Linked DNA regions of Arabidopsis thaliana. The protein of the gene in region 2 interacts with the protein of the main gene of each other region in a pairwise test. Each region holds a gene or a part of one and is shown on either strand. Other genes may lie near its edges.

Region 1 (5,501 bases), on a different chromosome or scaffold from region 2:
TAACTATAAGGTCTCATATTGCTGCTTCGAATAGTTAGGCAAGACTCTCAACGAAAAAGACTTCTCTTCAATTTTTCTATTTTGTACTCTCTTTATCAATATTCCATACCCACCAATTTTTTCTTCCTTTTTTCCTTTTAAACGATTTGATCGTATGAATACATATGCTTATGAACAACCCTTTATTTTATATATCTATTCTACGAAACACAAAAGCTAAACTAGAAACATAAATTTAGAGATGATTATACATAGAAACTATATCATATCAAGTATTATCAAATATGTAGATCAATAATCAGAAGATGATAATCTAATGATGTCTGTAATTTTGTTGCCCAAGAGTCCAGACAAAGATGAAAGATGTGGTTAGACAATGGTTTGAATATCTGTCCTAACAGCTCATTTAAAGAAAAGTTGTTCAATGTTTTAAAACCTTTCACTCTCATAGTTCATTACAATAGCGGATACCCTAAGTATAGATTTAATAAAAGCTAAAGAGCTTTTTGGCAGAGAAAAAGATTGTTTCTTTTCTCCGTTTTTCGAAAAGGATGCTTTGCTGACATAGGGAGAGTTACATTACTTAAAAGTGTTGATCAAGTGTGAATAATCATTACCAAAACTTAAAAACAGAAGACTATTATAATATGCCTAAAAGGGTTTGTAAATTTACTCAAGACCCCAAAATCATCATTGCACTGTTTGGTCTTTGAGTTCCAACAAAACTCTATGATATCTCAAAAGCCAAAAGAAGATGTAACAAACCAGAATGTACATCAGACTTATATCAGAAACTTTTCCAAGACCAAAAACTCATCAAAGTTTAAAGGCAAAATGCAATTAATAACATCTCTCTACTTCTTTAAAAGCTGTAAAAGATCTTTTTCTTCATCTTCTCATTTTCTCTTGCTTACCATTTCCATCTGCAAATTTCAAAACAACAAAAAAACATTCTAAGAACTTCACTTAAAAGAGTCACCAAAACAACTAAAAAATGTTATTAAAATCCTACACTTACATGTTAATGCTGAAGAAATCTCAGAAGTTTTAATCACACGCAGCCTCTTCACCGAAGACACAAACATTCTGACAATTTAAGAAATAATCAATTTTAGTGATCAAAAAGTCCACAATCTTTAATAGCTTAACCAAACTAAGTTTGTTATTAATCAAACTGTGATTAAGATATAATAAATATGTGACTAGGAATCTAATACTTCTCCTTTAGATAGAACAAAAAGCTGACTCAGATTCAGAAAAAAACGAAAAAGAAAAGAAAAGATTCTTACTGCCATGGAACATCTCCTACAAGCATCTTGTCTCCTTCATTGTCTTCATATGTAAGAGTATATTCTCCATTCCCATCTAATAATCCAGTGATTGGTTTTTCATCTTCTATGGATGATGGAAAGTCTCTTTGAGCTGATAAAATAAGAACAATTAGAGTTCAAAATTCAACCCTTTTTTAACCATAATCAATAGAGAGACAAAGGTTTCAAATTTACCTGCAAGAAGACCTCTGAAGAGCTTGTCAACTGTGAAAGATAACTGCTCATAGCTATTATGAGCACTGAGATCAACTTTACGACCAATGGGAACACCATACATGTTGATCTTCACAAACATGCCTCCTTGTCTCTTTGGTTCTGTTGTCTTAGCAGCAGCATCACACTTTTGGTTCTTGAGGGTAACACCATTGGAGGTGGTTGAGTCATTTCCAAGCTTTGAAGAACTTCCACTAGCTAAATTCTTCCTGAAGGATCGAACCGGAGGCCATCCCACCACTGGACCAGGAGCAGTTCTTTAAAACACAAAGGCATCAAAACAAAACTTGTTAGTAAGACAAGAACAATCTCAAGGTTAAAAACAGAGGAAAACTAGGGCAGTAAAAAGACTGAAACTTTCAGATGGGAAAAGGGTAAAAAGATGAAAAGTTTTGAGATCCAATCTTAAGCAGACAAGAACAAAGTTTATGCAGATAGATGGGACCTTATTGGCTAATAACAAGTGAATATCATCATGTGAGAAGGATACAAAACAGAGAAAAACAAAAAGTAAGAGATGAGAAGTTTAAAACCTTTTATGGGATGTGGTTTTGGTGGAAGAAGGAGAGAAGTATTTGCCAGCGAGAGAGAGGATAGATTTGTCTTTTGGTTCTTTCTTCATGTGTCTTATCATCGATTCATCATCATCTTCTTCACCAGGTGGTCCAAGCTTTAGCTCAAGCTTCTTCTCCTCTGTTTTGAAAACAGAGTTTTTCTCATCGTGAAACCAATTTCTTCTCTCTTGTGGAATCATCAAGTCAAGCAGCTTCGGAGAGATTTCACCGTTTCTTGAATAACCCTCCATTAGGATTTTTTTTAGAGGAACTACAGAAGAATCTTGCGTTCTTTGACCAAAAGAAGAAGAATTTCGACAAGAAAACACTTCAAAAAGAAAATCTGTCTAGAAGTTGACAACTTGTTCACGCAAAAGAACAAAATTTTATAAACCCATTAGTTAAAATCTCTCTGCTACACTATCCAAAACTCTTGAAGCAACTTAGAAAACAAAAGAGAGGAGATGGAAATGGAATGAGAAGCTAGAGAGGTGATTAAGTGGGACTTTTATACAAATCAAAAGCTTTCGCCTTTTGAAGGGAAAAATGTTAAAACTTTATGGTGGGTTCTTATCTTTTTTCCCACTTTGTGTTCTCTCTCTCTCTCTATCTCTAGATTCTTGAAGGAGAAGAAGTTGGATTTTATACCAAGGAAATGCAGTGAATAGGTTAAAACCAAAGGAAGAAAAATAAGGGGTAAAATTGGAAATTATTAGAAGTTAGTAAATTTGGAGACCAAAAAATAAAAATAAAGGGATTTATTGGTGTGAAACACACGCAATCAATCTTTTTATCTCTCTCTCTGCCCTTAAAGGAAGTTTAGTGGAGGAAGCAAAGCATGCTATTTTGTTTTCTATCTTATTATTCCAATCCCATAGGCCTTTTTTCACCTTTTTATTTAAAACATATTTTCTTTTGACCAATTAAAAAAAATACATACAACAGAAAAACATAAACAAACAATTACTTTGTACAAGTAAAACTTGTGGTGTTGTGTGGTTGACCCAAACAAAACGAGAAGTGTAACTTGAGAATTTGTTATGTTTTTATAATACTAGTAGTGTCACAAAATATGGATATAGGACTAAACAAATATTTAGACCAAAAAAGGAGGACTAAACAATGTTTTTGTAGAGACTTTACACTTTTACAAAATTATTGGGAAAATGTAGAAAAAGCATATTTATATTACGCGAAGTAAAAATCACACCCAATTAAATTAATAAATAGTAGTATATAATTAAAATATGGTTGCCATAAAAAGAAATGGAGGATTCGACGATCTTTCTCTGGTATGTTAGGATCACACCCCTATCGACTCTGTCCTACTCCTATGGGACTTACACATATTCCAATGTTTGGGAAAGTTCAAATGAATTTGGAGATTTTACGAGAAACCCTTCTTTTTCTCTCTCTCAGTCTCTATTGAGTCTCTATTGGGTGATTTAGCTGAATAACCATATTTGACAAACAAATTAAAAATATAGTACCATATATATAAAAATTAAGAAAATAGCATGTAAGGATAAGGAAAAGACAATTTTAGTGTTGAATTGGAGGTAAAATGATTTAGTAACATTTAGTTTAGTTTTTCACCTATTTGTTTTTTTTTTGTTATATATCTTTTCCAAAAAATAAATTCCAATTATAAAATTTATTAGAAAAAACCTATATTTTTTCTACATACAAAATAGTTTGAATTTTTAAAATCGGATTTGAATTTATAAAATAGTAAATAGTGTTTGTAAGTAAAAACATGTACTATTTTGGATAGAAATAAAATGTTGTACTATACTATTTTGGATGTATAGAAAAACTATACCCTAAGATACAACCTTGGCAACTCAAGCAACCAGATAACATAAGTGGTATCTGAAAAATCTATTTTGTCCTTCTCGTTTGTTTGTTATGTGATACAAAAAAAGAAAAAAAAAAAAGATTGAGAGAAGAAAGAAAAAGAGATGAGAGGTGAAGAGAGAAGGAGGGACTTAGAATGAGGTGGAGAAAAATGGGTAAATATACCATTATTATATATAATATAGAGAGTATATCTGTTTTTTTGTTTTGTGTTACTTTCTTAATTTATAAGTTTTTGTTAGTTATTCTTGCAAATTTTCTTCCTTTATTTCGTTTTGTCGTTATTATTTTATAAATTATTACTATTGGCTTTAATTACCATTTACCATCCCATCATATATTTAAACCCAAATGATACGAGGAATTTTTTGTCATCTTATACTTTAGATCGATAGAATTCAGTAAGCTCCAATATAAACTCTCTTTTTTTTTAATCAGGTTAGTTTATTCTGCGTTTTTTTCAAATCAGTCACTAAACAAATAAAATTATTGATTTTAGATTCGAGTTTTGTGTCTACCTTTACATGCAAATAAAAAACACAAGAATTATTGTGTTGCTTTAAATGAACTTAATCACAAGAAGCGTATGTTACCAAAAAAAAAAACTCAATCTTATTTAAAAGAGTAAGCTTTTGCCACACCAAAAAAAAAAGAGTAAGCTTTTGAAAATAATGAACCATCGGACATGGTTCTTCCACGTGTGAGACCGATATGACGGAAAAGCCGAACCAACCAAGAGTCGGGTAAGAGTTTTGGTCAAGGAAGGAAGGGTAATATGGGAATTTTCAAACAAGATTATCAGAGGTCAAATCTTGTCTCCGTATTACCAAACTCGTTGTGAGTTTTTGGTCAAGTAAAGATGGGTATTTTGGGAATTTTATAATATAAAAATGGGATTATCAGAGGTCATTTCTTGTCTCCATATTACCAAACTCCCAAATTTCTTCCTTCATCGGCTACAATGCTGCAGACAAAGACTGACAGACAACCTTAATCACGGTTCCTTAATTTCTCCATTTTAAATCATTCATGTGTTAAATTAAACCCTATGTAATTATAGTTATTAAACCGTCTAACAAGAAACACCTATTGTGATTAGTAATTACTGTGTAATTAAACGTGTACACAGTGTTTGGTAGATCGCGCGTTTTGATGATCTTCTTTTTTGTTTATGGAAGACACGTGGCAATATAGATGAGTAAAACAGAGACTAGAGACCGAATCTCTCTCTGACTTTGACAGTACTTTTCTCTCTATCTGGACGGTAGACAAAAGTTGTACAGTTTCAGATTTTAGATCTCCTGATAAGCTTTCAATCCCAACCGTTGAAACTCAAAACAAACCACAACCAACGGCTATGATTATCACCGTACACCAATTAATAAGATAGCTGACTCCAAAAAAGAAAGTGAAAAGGAATAAAACAAATCGTGAAATTAATGTCAAATCTGAGGAAAAAGCAATAGTTGTGGTAAAATCATAAATGATACTCTTCAATCTTCATGGGTCGTATTTGATAAGGCTCCACCTAATAAGATTATCGAAT
Region 2 (7,058 bases):
ATCGTCTGCGTCAAAACTTGTATCTTTCTTGTTCTTTTTTTGGGTTTTAACCATATCTCTTTCTTGTTTCTGCTTATTATGATTCGTTTGAAGAAGAAGACAATGGATTAAATATATGTAATTGTCATTGAAGATGCAACGCTGTTTAACTATAACCATTCCTCGAACTGAAAGTCAAACCCGTACTCTTTGGTTGAGGAAAATTAGTCAGATTTAATTCGACTACAACTAAAACTACGATCGTGTTTAATTTTGTTTTCTGTCACCTATTAATTTCTTAGTATATGTATGAAAATTTAAGTTTTGTTTGATTTTATATTAATGGAGTACGATATTTGTAGCTCATACTTTGAGTATGATGGTCCTATGGATGTTCGTTTTGTATGATTTGTTCGGACTGAAACTTTATATCATTTATAAAGGTAGAAATGTTTTTACAAATCTTTTATCCAAACAGAAAAATGTTTTTTTTTTTTTTCTATACTACAGCTCCAAAATCTATTCAGTTTAGTTAGCTTGAGGCTTTTTTGGTTTTTGTCAAAGTAAAACAATTTCTCCATACCAAAAACAATTAATCTTTAGCAAAAAAAAAACAGTTGCTCCATACTACATAAGTACATAACCACCACCAAACCAATACTAAGTTTGAAAATAATTGTATTGTTTTCTTCTTCATTATAAGGCAAATCTGAATTAAAAGTTTAAAACAATATTTTTTTTTTTGACAAATATCAACTACAGTATACACTTCATATGTGACTTTATCCGAAAACAAAATAGATTTTCTTTCTTTTGTCATTTGCATTTTATTAAAGAAAAATCTGATGCAGCTAAAAGGTTTGGAAATTAAAACTTAAGAATTTTTATAGAGAACATCATGGAGACTTATTTTTGGCACGATAACATGAACTTCCAAAGTTTAGTTTTCATTTTTTTCGATTTCAGTTCAATTTTCTAATAACACTATATCCTAGAAGTTCATTAATCCACAAATATTTTTACCAACTCCAAAAGAGAATCTTAACTAGTCGTTTGACTCCTTTACTTTTCCATGACTTTCATATGATGCCCGCCGCGTTGATTTCCACGCCTTCACGTATTTTGTATTCTTCTCTAATACTGTAGTTTTTTTTTTTTTAAGCCTTAATTATTGATTAGAAATATAATCTTTGAACCCATAACTAATTGAATGTACTTGGTTTTGAAAATTGAATGGTTATGGAACAAGTACATACACATAAAAGATGTAAAACCGCCCCATCAACCACTGTCCCAAAACCGAAATATTAAATCGCCAACTTGAAAAATTGACATGAAAAAGAGGACAAGACTTTATATACACAGACTAAAAAAAAAGTCTTTAGACACTTACGCACTAAAACGACGTCGCCGAATTAACCTTAATTAACAGCTAAAACTCTCACCCCCTACTACGATTTTCGAATGATTCATTACCATATTCCTCATTCTCTAACGACGAAGAAATCTTCAGTTTCGTTGTCATTTTCTTAACCTCATCGCTCGAATATATAAATATCTTCTTTGCCATCTTGCAAAACTCACTGCACAATCCCACACAACAGAACATTGCAAAATCAGTTCCGGTTTAAGTTCACATTTAACTGATTTGAGCTAAACCGGAAATGTTTAACTCTGTTATTTTAGAACTTACTTCCACGGATCATCACCAGCAAGCATCATATCTCCTTCATCATCAGTGAAGACAACGATCCATTTGTCTCGGGCAAGAAGCTGTCCTTGAATCTCAAACATCTCCTCAAGCTCATCAATCAGTTCATCGTAAGATTTCAACAGTGTTAAATCAACCGCACGACCAACCGCAATGCCTTGCATTTGCACCTTTTTCAATCCAAGATCAAAGAAATCAGATTTTCAAAACATTGTTGCTATGTTATTATATGAGTTGATAAAGAAAATTACTTTAGTTCGACTTCTTGATGTTTGTTGCTTCTTCTGCTCACTCATTGAGGTTGGAGTGATGGGTTCTTGACACTTGGCAGCTCCACAAGTATCCATCGGTTGCTTGTCTTGAGGGATTGGAGCAGGAGAATTGCTTGTGAGATCAAATCCAAACAACCTATAGCTACAATTCGTTGGAGGAGGAGGAGTCTCGGGTTTGAAGCTGTTGTTTGAGGAGTATCCACCTGAAATTCTCTCAAGTGATGGATCTTGAAACAGTTTAAGGGATGCATTAATGGAATCTTGGCTCTGAGGGAGGCTGTACAAGAAACTAGGTGGGGCTGGTGTTTTAACTGATGGCTCGATGGGTCTTGACCGCTTGCATTTCGATTGTGGTTGTTGAGCAGGAGTTGAAATTGGGGAAGTTGCCAAGAAAGGCTCTATCTCCCATGGTGAGACTTTATCTGGTCTCTGAACTGTTGTTGGCTCATCCCATTGTACCTAAGAAAGACCAAGACAAAAACGTTATATAAAGACCACGTAATAAGTAAAACACTAAAATGTAAGAACGTGGAATGGTTAACTGAACCTGCAATGACCTCCATTTAGAAGCTGGCCATTGTGAAGATAGATCTCCACTTCCCACAATCGTACCAGTAAATCTGAAGACGTTCCAGGTTTCAGAATCAAGAACACTGACAAAAAAGAAATGATCAGAGAAAATGGATTCTTACATTCTCTCAGGAGACTCTTCTCCTTCAAACCTCATTCTGAATCGGGTACCGAGAGAAAATCCATGCTTTATAGCTTCCATATACTTGTTCACCCCAACTATGAATTGGCTTATCCTGCAAAGAGAGAAAACTTTTCTTCAATCAAAGAGTCCTAAACCATCTATGTATATAAAGCAAAATCATCTAAAGAACATTACTATATACCTAGGCTTGTAAAAGACAACAAAGATTGTTGTTGTACGCACAGCATGAGAAGCTGTAGCAAGAACTCCCAAATGCATGCTCTGACTTGAAATAACCGAAGTAGGCATTGTGCTTTGATGCCGAGCTAATCGTCTCACTCCAACCCGTAAATCCCCATTCTCACCCCTGAAAAACACAAAGGCATTACATTTAGGTTCATGAAACTAAACAAGACCAGTGAATAAAGTTTCAATTTCAAAAGTACCTCAAGAACACAAAAGCATCTCCAGCTACAAGTCTTTTCGAGGATACAAATGTACTCCAACCCGTAGTAAGCAAATGCCTCCGTGGTTGTCCTAAACCAAAAACGGCACTCAATGAGTCAATGTCTCATTTAGTCCAAACACAGTTTCACAAAAACACACCAAGATTAGAATCAATACCTCTGAATATATGCTTAAACCTCCATTCAAAGCCATGAAGATCTCTAGTCACAAGTTCTTGAGTAGGAGTAGCTTGTGTCATATCCTAAAAAGTGTAAAATTGGAGTGAGAATTCAAGCTAAAGTTTCTTGAATTGAGAAGGTTTCTTTAAGAATATATTTACCAAAGAAGGCAAGCATTCAGTGGCGTGTTTACGAAGAACAGAGAATCCACCATGAGTGCTTGTATCTGAAGCCGTTAAAATCTTAACAAACGAATGAAACTCTTGCTTAGTTGGTCCAACAATAGGTGGATCAAGACTTGTTGGTTCACTTTGCTGCAAACAAAACAGTAAATTGAAATCAATTCCAATCAATATAAATTAACACTCACTGAAATAAAGTTGAGTTTTTTTTTTAAGAACTTACATCTTCCTCTGGTTGTAATGTGATCTGAGCGTAAACCTCATCTGTTTCATGCTCCGCCTATAAATCAAAATTTAGTTAACAGATTCAGGGGAAATAAAACATTTTAACATTTATGATCCAACTTTACCTTTAAAGTGACATCAAGAACTCGACAAAGTATCTTTGGAGGAAGATCAAAAACAGGTATTTCTTCTGAATTGATTCCTTGATTAGTTGACGCCACAAGCTGCAAAAAAACCCAGAATTTAGAAAGAGAATGGAAAAAGAAAAATTGGGGTAAAAAGAGATGATTTTTGGGTGGGTATATACTTGTTCCATGTGACCCTGAGGGAAGTAGAAAACTCTCTCTTGAGCACGAGGAACTTCCACTAATGGACCTGCACAAACTTTCCATAGCTCTGTGTATAGTTGATCTTGATAAGACCCTAAAATCAAACAACAACAAAACCCTAACAGTCACATTTCCGCGGCAAAACTATAACAAAAATGTGAACTTTGAAGCTATACGAGAAAAATAAGAAAGTTGGGGTTTTTTCTATTTCTTTCTAAGCTCGTCTCCCGAGAAAATGAAAGAAAAAAAAATCGAAACTTTACAAAGCTGATTTTGATTCTACAGAGTAAAACCCCAAACAGAGTCACTGTTAGAAACAAAAAAAAAAACAAAACTTTCTAAAGTCTCAGCCTTTTACTACTCACTTGACGAAGAACTTCCGAAATCATCATCACCTTCAACACTCGCCATTGAAGAACCCAGATGAGAACTGGAGAAGAAGAAGTAGAAGGAGAGGAAATGAAAGAAAATAGAAAGAAAAAAAAACCTTCACGCGGTAAACACTAGTCTTAACCCCATGAAAGAAACACGAGAGAGAGAAGAAAGAAAAGACCCATCAATGGAGAAAATAAAAAAAGCAAAACTTTATAAACAGGACACAACGGACGGTTATGTCCGTATTGATTGCAGAACGTAATTCAGGCACTGTTGGATAAAACTAAATCTCTCCCCTTTTTTTTTCCGTCAGCCACGAAACCGATCTCTCTCTCTCTTCCTCTTAAAATCTTTTTTTTTTTTTGTCTTCTCCTTTCCTTTCAGATTCCGTGTTGTTTTGCTTCAACAATCACAAACTTCTCGCCGTTTTTATCCCGATCCGCAGCAAACCAAAGCTGCTTCCTTTACTGAAGAAGTCTCACAGTATCATGCACATACATATATTCACACTCTCTCCTTCTTTATCTCTCTCTATATATCAAAATATAGAGAGACTTTCTCTTAGTTCAGATCCTGGAGACCTGTCATTTCCACCCACAGTAACTTCAGTTGAATCTCCCTATTTTTCTATTCATTTAATTAAATGTTTTCTAAAATTGTTGTTTTTTGTTTTATCATGTCATCGCTAAAAAGGAAACTCAAATATATTAAATGCGCTAAAATAAAACAAATTGTATTCAAAGGCAAACGAAGGGTCACGCGGCGTTTTGGGAATTGCTTATGAACTAATTACATTTTATTATGTAAAAAAAAAACGTACGGTGCATTTAAAGGAGAGGGCAAATCTCAGCCGTCCGATCAAGACGATAGTAATAAATAAGCTTATGACTTTACTCTATATCCCTAAATTGCCCTTTTTACTGATGACCCCGTTGCCGTTAGCACTTGACGGTGCCGTTACCCACATCGTCTTGTGTCTGGATCGTGGCAGGCAAACGTGTCGGCTTCTCTATTAAACCCCGGCCACATTTTCTTTTTTCCGTTATTTTTTTTTTTTGTGTAACATCAGATAGATTGTTTTTTCCGTTACAGATTTAATTTTTATTTAACACTGTGGAATGTGAGTTAATTACACATTATGCCATTGATCGTTTTTTTTATTTAGGACCCACAAAGGCTATGGCTACACCCACACTCGCACAAGGTCACAGCCATGACTCTTTATGGGACGAGCGTCTTGGGAAGCGTGTGAGTTTTATGTTACCACGTGCCGAGTCAGTTCTGAGTCGCTGGTGTTCATGCTGTATTCTTTTTTTTCTTTCACGCGCTTTTAATCTTAGCAAATCAAAAATCGAAATTATTTGAAAAATTCATGTTTACGGATTTCATATAATTATCGTTAATTGCTTTTATAGAAGGAACTTTTGAAACGTCAAATTTAAAAAATTAAATCGGATAGAGGTGGGAGACACGCGCTTAGTAAATGAGAATGGTGAAGAAGAGTGATAAAAAGTTGAGAAAGCCATGCCGAAGTGTCGGAGGAGAAAGTGGTCCCCACATGGACACGTCAGAGTAAGAGAAATTGCCACGCTGTTTAGTCGTATTCATGACCGACACGTGTCAAATGCTGACTTGTCCTACCAATTTTGCTCATTTACAGAGGAAATTCTATCGCTATTTTTCTTATTTTATTTTATTTTTCCCAATGATAGTGAAGAAAGACTATGATCCAAAAATATTATTGCGTTTTGATTTGTGTACACCCTTGTATTTAATAAAATTTGCAACACGAATCAATGTTGGCTTGTAACCACCCGATGAGACTAATGCTATCACTCGATACTATTTGGGTTTCAAAATCTTTTTTATAGCTTAAGATTTACCTAGAAAACGTCGACGATATTACATAGCCTTACCACTCTTTTTTACTTACAAGTTTGTATAATCATAAGTTCATAGTATTTTTATGTTACCATATACGAGTATTTATTTCCACTCAAAGTTATAGTGTAGACTGTAGAGTTCTCTCGCTAATTACATAAGGCCTACAAATGTGTGTTGTTGATAGTGAAACACTATTACAACATTCAAGCTTCGTTGATGAAGATTATGTGGCCGCGTTACAAGACGAAATATAGATGTGATGTATTATTGATTGGAATCATATATAGTCTCACTTCTCTAACTAGCTGATAGAGGGGTAAAAAAAACTTTTTTGAATCCCACCCAACAAAAAAATAATTAAAATAGTGCATATGATTATTGTACGGACAAATCCTTGCAAAGCGGAGACGAGATATGAAAGAATCGAATTTCATCACCAAAGGTTGAACTAAAGAGTGAAACATAATTTTAGAAAAGGTAATAGGATGATATTACCATAAATATAACGGAATTAAAATAAATTTAACAATGATTCTTATCCTGCATGAGATTTCATGCTTGCATATCTCTCACAATAATATACACCTAAAGATGATGCCAAATTTGAACGTCATTTTAGTTGCGTTCGTTTTTCTTGGGTGAAAATTTGAATATCTTTTTTTAATTCAATGACTAATTTAACGAGCTGCTGCGGATATTCTCTCTAGTTGAAATTATTTATACACACAAAAGGTTCAAATAGTAAAATAAATAAATAGGATTACGAATATGATCATTCAAA
Region 3 (3,931 bases), on a different chromosome or scaffold from region 2:
GATCAAATCATAACCTCTCTAGTCGATTTTAAACCGGAAGAGTGGGGCTTGCCTCCATTCGAAGATTCGAACTAAACGATACAAACGTCTTCAAGGTAATGATAAAAACTCAAATCATGAAGCTTATTCTTTGTCTTGTTATATTGTTTTGGCATGTACATGACAAAGGCCATGAGGCTTTATGTCGTCAAGGGTTCTATGATTTTCTGGCTATTGAAGACATAAAAAGAAACTAAGTGGTGACATGACGAGAGACCAAACAAAAAAATTTGCCTCAACGTTTAAACAAATTATTTTTGTACAACTACTCTTACCCACAAGTTTCAACATTGGCTTATCTTATTTTGTTCTTGTCGGTATAGCTGAATTGATTCCTTCTTTATGGTTTGGAATCTCTCTTCTTTACGCATCACTAACATGTGTTGTTACTGCAACGTTTCATGTTTTACACTATAATTAAGAAAAATAGGTTATATTTAGTATTACAACTTTTTTTTTATTTTTCATTTCGTACGTGAACAAAGAAGCAAACACATCCAATGATGATTTTACAGTAATGCCATTAGGATTCAACCGACATCGGCTGTTACAAAACATCGTATGACATCGTTGCAAAAACGGTCTTTCTCCTCCTCACTCGTTTCTTTTAACTTGTCTTGTGTTTCCCTTGACCGGCAAGATTCGAATTCTCTTCGCTACACGAACAAAGTCCCTGTGTCAACAAGCAAATTTTCTCGTTAACGTCCAAGTATTAAAATATTGCCAGTTAAAGATCACGAAACCTTCAAAATCTAATTATACTAAACATTGAACGAAAACCGTAATTTTTAAGAAAGATATATAACGGTATCAAACAAAATAACTATAGCCAGCAAAATTGAGTATACAGAATAAGGATAGCAACAAAATATCATTTCACTAAATTATTGATATTTGTCTTTTTAGAAAAGCAGAGAACATGTGTTTTCTTGGCAGCTTGAAAAACTTGTGTTTGTAGTATTTTACCGTTAGGGGAAAAAAAATTAATATAGTTTTCCTATGTTTAAAATAAGGCTCGTTTTATATATAGTTTGTATATATATGGCCATCCTGACAATAATAAAGAAAATTAATGTTAGGGGAGGAAAATTACTTCCAAGTAAGATCTCCGGCAAGAAGGAGATCGTTCTCCATGTCTTCATAAGCAATAAGATGGCCAGGAATGGCGTTTGACAGATCAAGATCGTCCGTTGAATCAGCTCCATCGACAAACATTTGCCTTAGAGCCGAAGCCAAGCTCTGATAACTCCCATGCTTGTCTAGGCTTATGCGTTGACATATAGAACGTCCCTCTAGCACAACCGTAACCGGAGGAACCACCGATGAAACAAGATCGTCCTCTACGTTAAGCCCAAAGCCTTGGAATGATCTCCCGGCCGCTCCAGAGCTGGAGTTGCTATTATTATGGTTTTTGGAAGCCGGTTTGGGTATGAAAGGTGTCGTGGTGTCACGAGGTTGTTGTGTGGTGCTGTTGTCTTGATGAAACCTTCTTTGCAAAGAGTCTTGGCTTTGTGGCTCGAAACTATTCATATTGAGAGTAGGGTTTTAGGGCTTTTGTAACTTAGAGAAGACAACGGACGCTTACATGGAACTCAAAGTGTTTCGTGTTTTTTTGTTAAGCTAGAGAGAGACTGTGTGTTTGATGAGATTCTGGTGAAAGTGAATGTATGTACATATAAATAGATAGAGAAAGCGTAAATTGTGTGGCAAACAAAAAGGTGTCTTTTATTTTTCATTTTTCAATTTTCGTTTGGTTTAATGTTGTCTTAAATGTTTCATTTAATTTGAAAGTACATCTGCTCTTTGGATTTCTCGTTAGACAATGAATCCTCAATTAACAATCAATTTAATATTTAATTATTCAATGAACAATTGGATTCACGTAAAAATGTTCTCACATGCTTATGTATTAAATGTGTTTTTACAATTATTGTATTTTGCTAACTTATTCTACTATATATCTATCACTGCGACTGTGAGAGTAATAAGAGCTGTTACAGGAAATGTTCCAAGGTTTCACTAATTTTGACCATATATTACCAGCAAGGTATTAGGTATTTATGTATACAAGTATAAAGAAATTTTAAAATAAAAATGTTTGGAAATGTTTACGTGGACAAAAAGAAAGCTGATGGGAAAACATAAAAACAGTGAAAAAGAGTCAATATAATAAGAAATGTGAATTAGCTAGAAAACTCCAAATTAATTAAAGACATTATAAATTGGTGATTAATTAAATAATGAAAGAAGGTATCATAGAAAAAGAGATCTTGTAAATTGTAACGCATGGGCTGCGGAGACGACCGCGCTGCCGTCGCCGAACGCCTCGCTTCCTTGACTCGCGCCTGGTCGGGAGTTCCACGTCATTTTCTTTTCATACACTAATACACACATCAAGCATACATACGAAGAATATAAAAATTGTATTAACCGGTAAACACACGCATATATCCACACGACCACACATCAACGTCATATAGAATATACATGCATAGCCATTTATCCATGTAACATCACATACACACACATGAATACGTTTAACGTTTGATCTCATACTTCTCGGATTTAACTCGGTTTGACGAAAGTAAAACAAAGTATTAGACCTTGGTCCAAAATGTAGACATCACCCCTCTAATAATAATGAAAACTCATGTTATTTGGGAGGAGTTGTTTAGAGTGATTAGATCCAAGAAAATATGTGAACTTAATTAGAAATTTCTTAGATCAAAAAAGAGGGAAAAAAAGAAGAATTGCACTCTAAACTCATACAATATAATCCAAAGTCTTTTCGGTTATAGATTTTGGTGTACGGAACTTATCTGAAAATAAATAAATAACAAGTTTGTTCGAGCTACCTAAAATTAGTTGATTCCAATTCAAGTCATTTTAAAACATTATACACGATTTTAAAATCGCAAATAATTAAGTTGAGTGACCAAATGTATAGGTAAATCATGTATGAGTCAAATAACTGTGCCTAAAATTGTAATTTTATGCTAAAATGTTGATTTTCATATGGACTATTAAATGAAAAATTAACGGTGGATCCAACAAGCAATAGGTGAATAAGCTAAAGCAAACCCAAGAAGACATAAAACGAAGCACAAGAAGCATATTTTCTTAAGTTTGAAGCAAACAATAATTTACTCTATACATTTAAATTTCAACTCGGGATTCGAATTAGAAGACTCGAAGATCCGACATGGAGGCATGGAAATATTTAAAACTTACCTCGGTTTCATAGATCTCAATTTAGGACTATAGTTTAACACATTACTACGTCTACATGTTATATTTAATCATCTAATTAATTTGTCTCGATTTTTGTTTTTTTTCGATTCTACAGACATACGTTAATGTTTGCTTATTCCACTCCCCGATAATAATCAAAATTTAAATAACAATCAAACACTTACCCGCTGTTTTGGTCTGTTTCTAACCAAACAATGATAATCATTTTGTCATGCTCATCCAACATTAGCACAAGTCTAAACAGGCCTTACACATCAGCTCAATAAAGCCTTAATAGGCCCAATTAAAACAGTATGGGCCCACATTCTTCCTTCTCTTAAAGCCTAAACAGTTGGCGCGTCAAAATCACGTGGAGGAGCACTGAAGCCAGTAGGTGTCTCTTCACAGGATCATTTCCTTAAAGCTCATTATCACAAAAACAAATCCTTTTGATTATTATTACTGAAATAAAAAGCAAAGTGAAAAAGGTTTTAAAAACTTTTATTTTCGCTCTTCTCCAGAAACATTCCGTTTCAGATATTTTTGATTTTTGAATTTGTTTTCGCTCTCTCTCTCTCTCTGCTTAGATTAGATCTGTTCCTGTGAATTGATTCTCTGTTTCATCGTTTGCTCACGCCGCCGTTTTCGCCGGAGGTGGAAG

Evidence for each region. The genes of interacting proteins can lie anywhere in the genome.
Region 1: the proteins of ARF18 (region 2) and IAA18 interact in binary tests that used the Arabidopsis thaliana proteins (3 or more experiments, as listed by UniProt).
Region 3: the proteins of ARF18 (region 2) and IAA33 interact in binary tests that used the Arabidopsis thaliana proteins (3 or more experiments, as listed by UniProt).

What each region holds. Positions count from the first base shown.
Region 1 is NC_003070.9:19,302,518-19,308,018, reverse strand, and holds IAA18 (indole-3-acetic acid inducible 18), read right to left. Parts: upstream 2,939-5,501; 5' UTR 2,350-2,938; coding exon 2,078-2,349; intron 1,802-2,077; coding exon 1,506-1,801; intron 1,423-1,505; coding exon 1,290-1,422; intron 1,087-1,289; coding exon 1,019-1,086; intron 924-1,018; coding exon 889-923; 3' UTR 501-888; downstream 1-500. UniProt on the Arabidopsis thaliana protein: Aux/IAA proteins are short-lived transcriptional factors that function as repressors of early auxin response genes at low auxin concentrations.
Region 2 is NC_003074.8:22,885,542-22,892,599, reverse strand, and holds ARF18 (auxin response factor 18), read right to left. Parts: upstream 4,712-7,058; 5' UTR 4,430-4,711; coding exon 4,384-4,429; intron 4,333-4,383; exon of another isoform or gene 4,113-4,332; coding exon 3,997-4,112; intron 3,914-3,996; coding exon 3,815-3,913; intron 3,745-3,814; coding exon 3,688-3,744; intron 3,597-3,687; coding exon 3,444-3,596; intron 3,366-3,443; coding exon 3,281-3,365; intron 3,194-3,280; coding exon 3,103-3,193; intron 3,024-3,102; coding exon 2,859-3,023; intron 2,769-2,858; coding exon 2,655-2,768; intron 2,583-2,654; coding exon 2,510-2,582; intron 2,422-2,509; coding exon 1,942-2,421; intron 1,861-1,941; coding exon 1,673-1,860; intron 1,563-1,672; coding exon 1,421-1,562; 3' UTR 1,145-1,420; downstream 1-1,144. Other genes in the region: AT3G61840 (auxin response factor, putative (DUF688)), read right to left, coding at 1-54; AT3G61829 (uncharacterized protein), read left to right, coding at 5,278-5,409; AT3G61826 (uncharacterized protein), read left to right, coding at 5,877-5,969. UniProt on the Arabidopsis thaliana protein: Auxin response factors (ARFs) are transcriptional factors that bind specifically to the DNA sequence 5'-TGTCTC-3' found in the auxin-responsive promoter elements (AuxREs). Could act as transcriptional activator or repressor.
Region 3 is NC_003076.8:23,267,662-23,271,592, reverse strand, and holds IAA33 (indole-3-acetic acid inducible 33), read right to left. Parts: upstream 1,680-3,931; 5' UTR 1,570-1,679; coding exon 1,133-1,569; intron 713-1,132; coding exon 634-712; 3' UTR 501-633; downstream 1-500. Other genes in the region: GS1 (Haloacid dehalogenase-like hydrolase (HAD) superfamily protein), read left to right, coding at 1-75. UniProt on the Arabidopsis thaliana protein: Aux/IAA proteins are short-lived transcriptional factors that function as repressors of early auxin response genes at low auxin concentrations.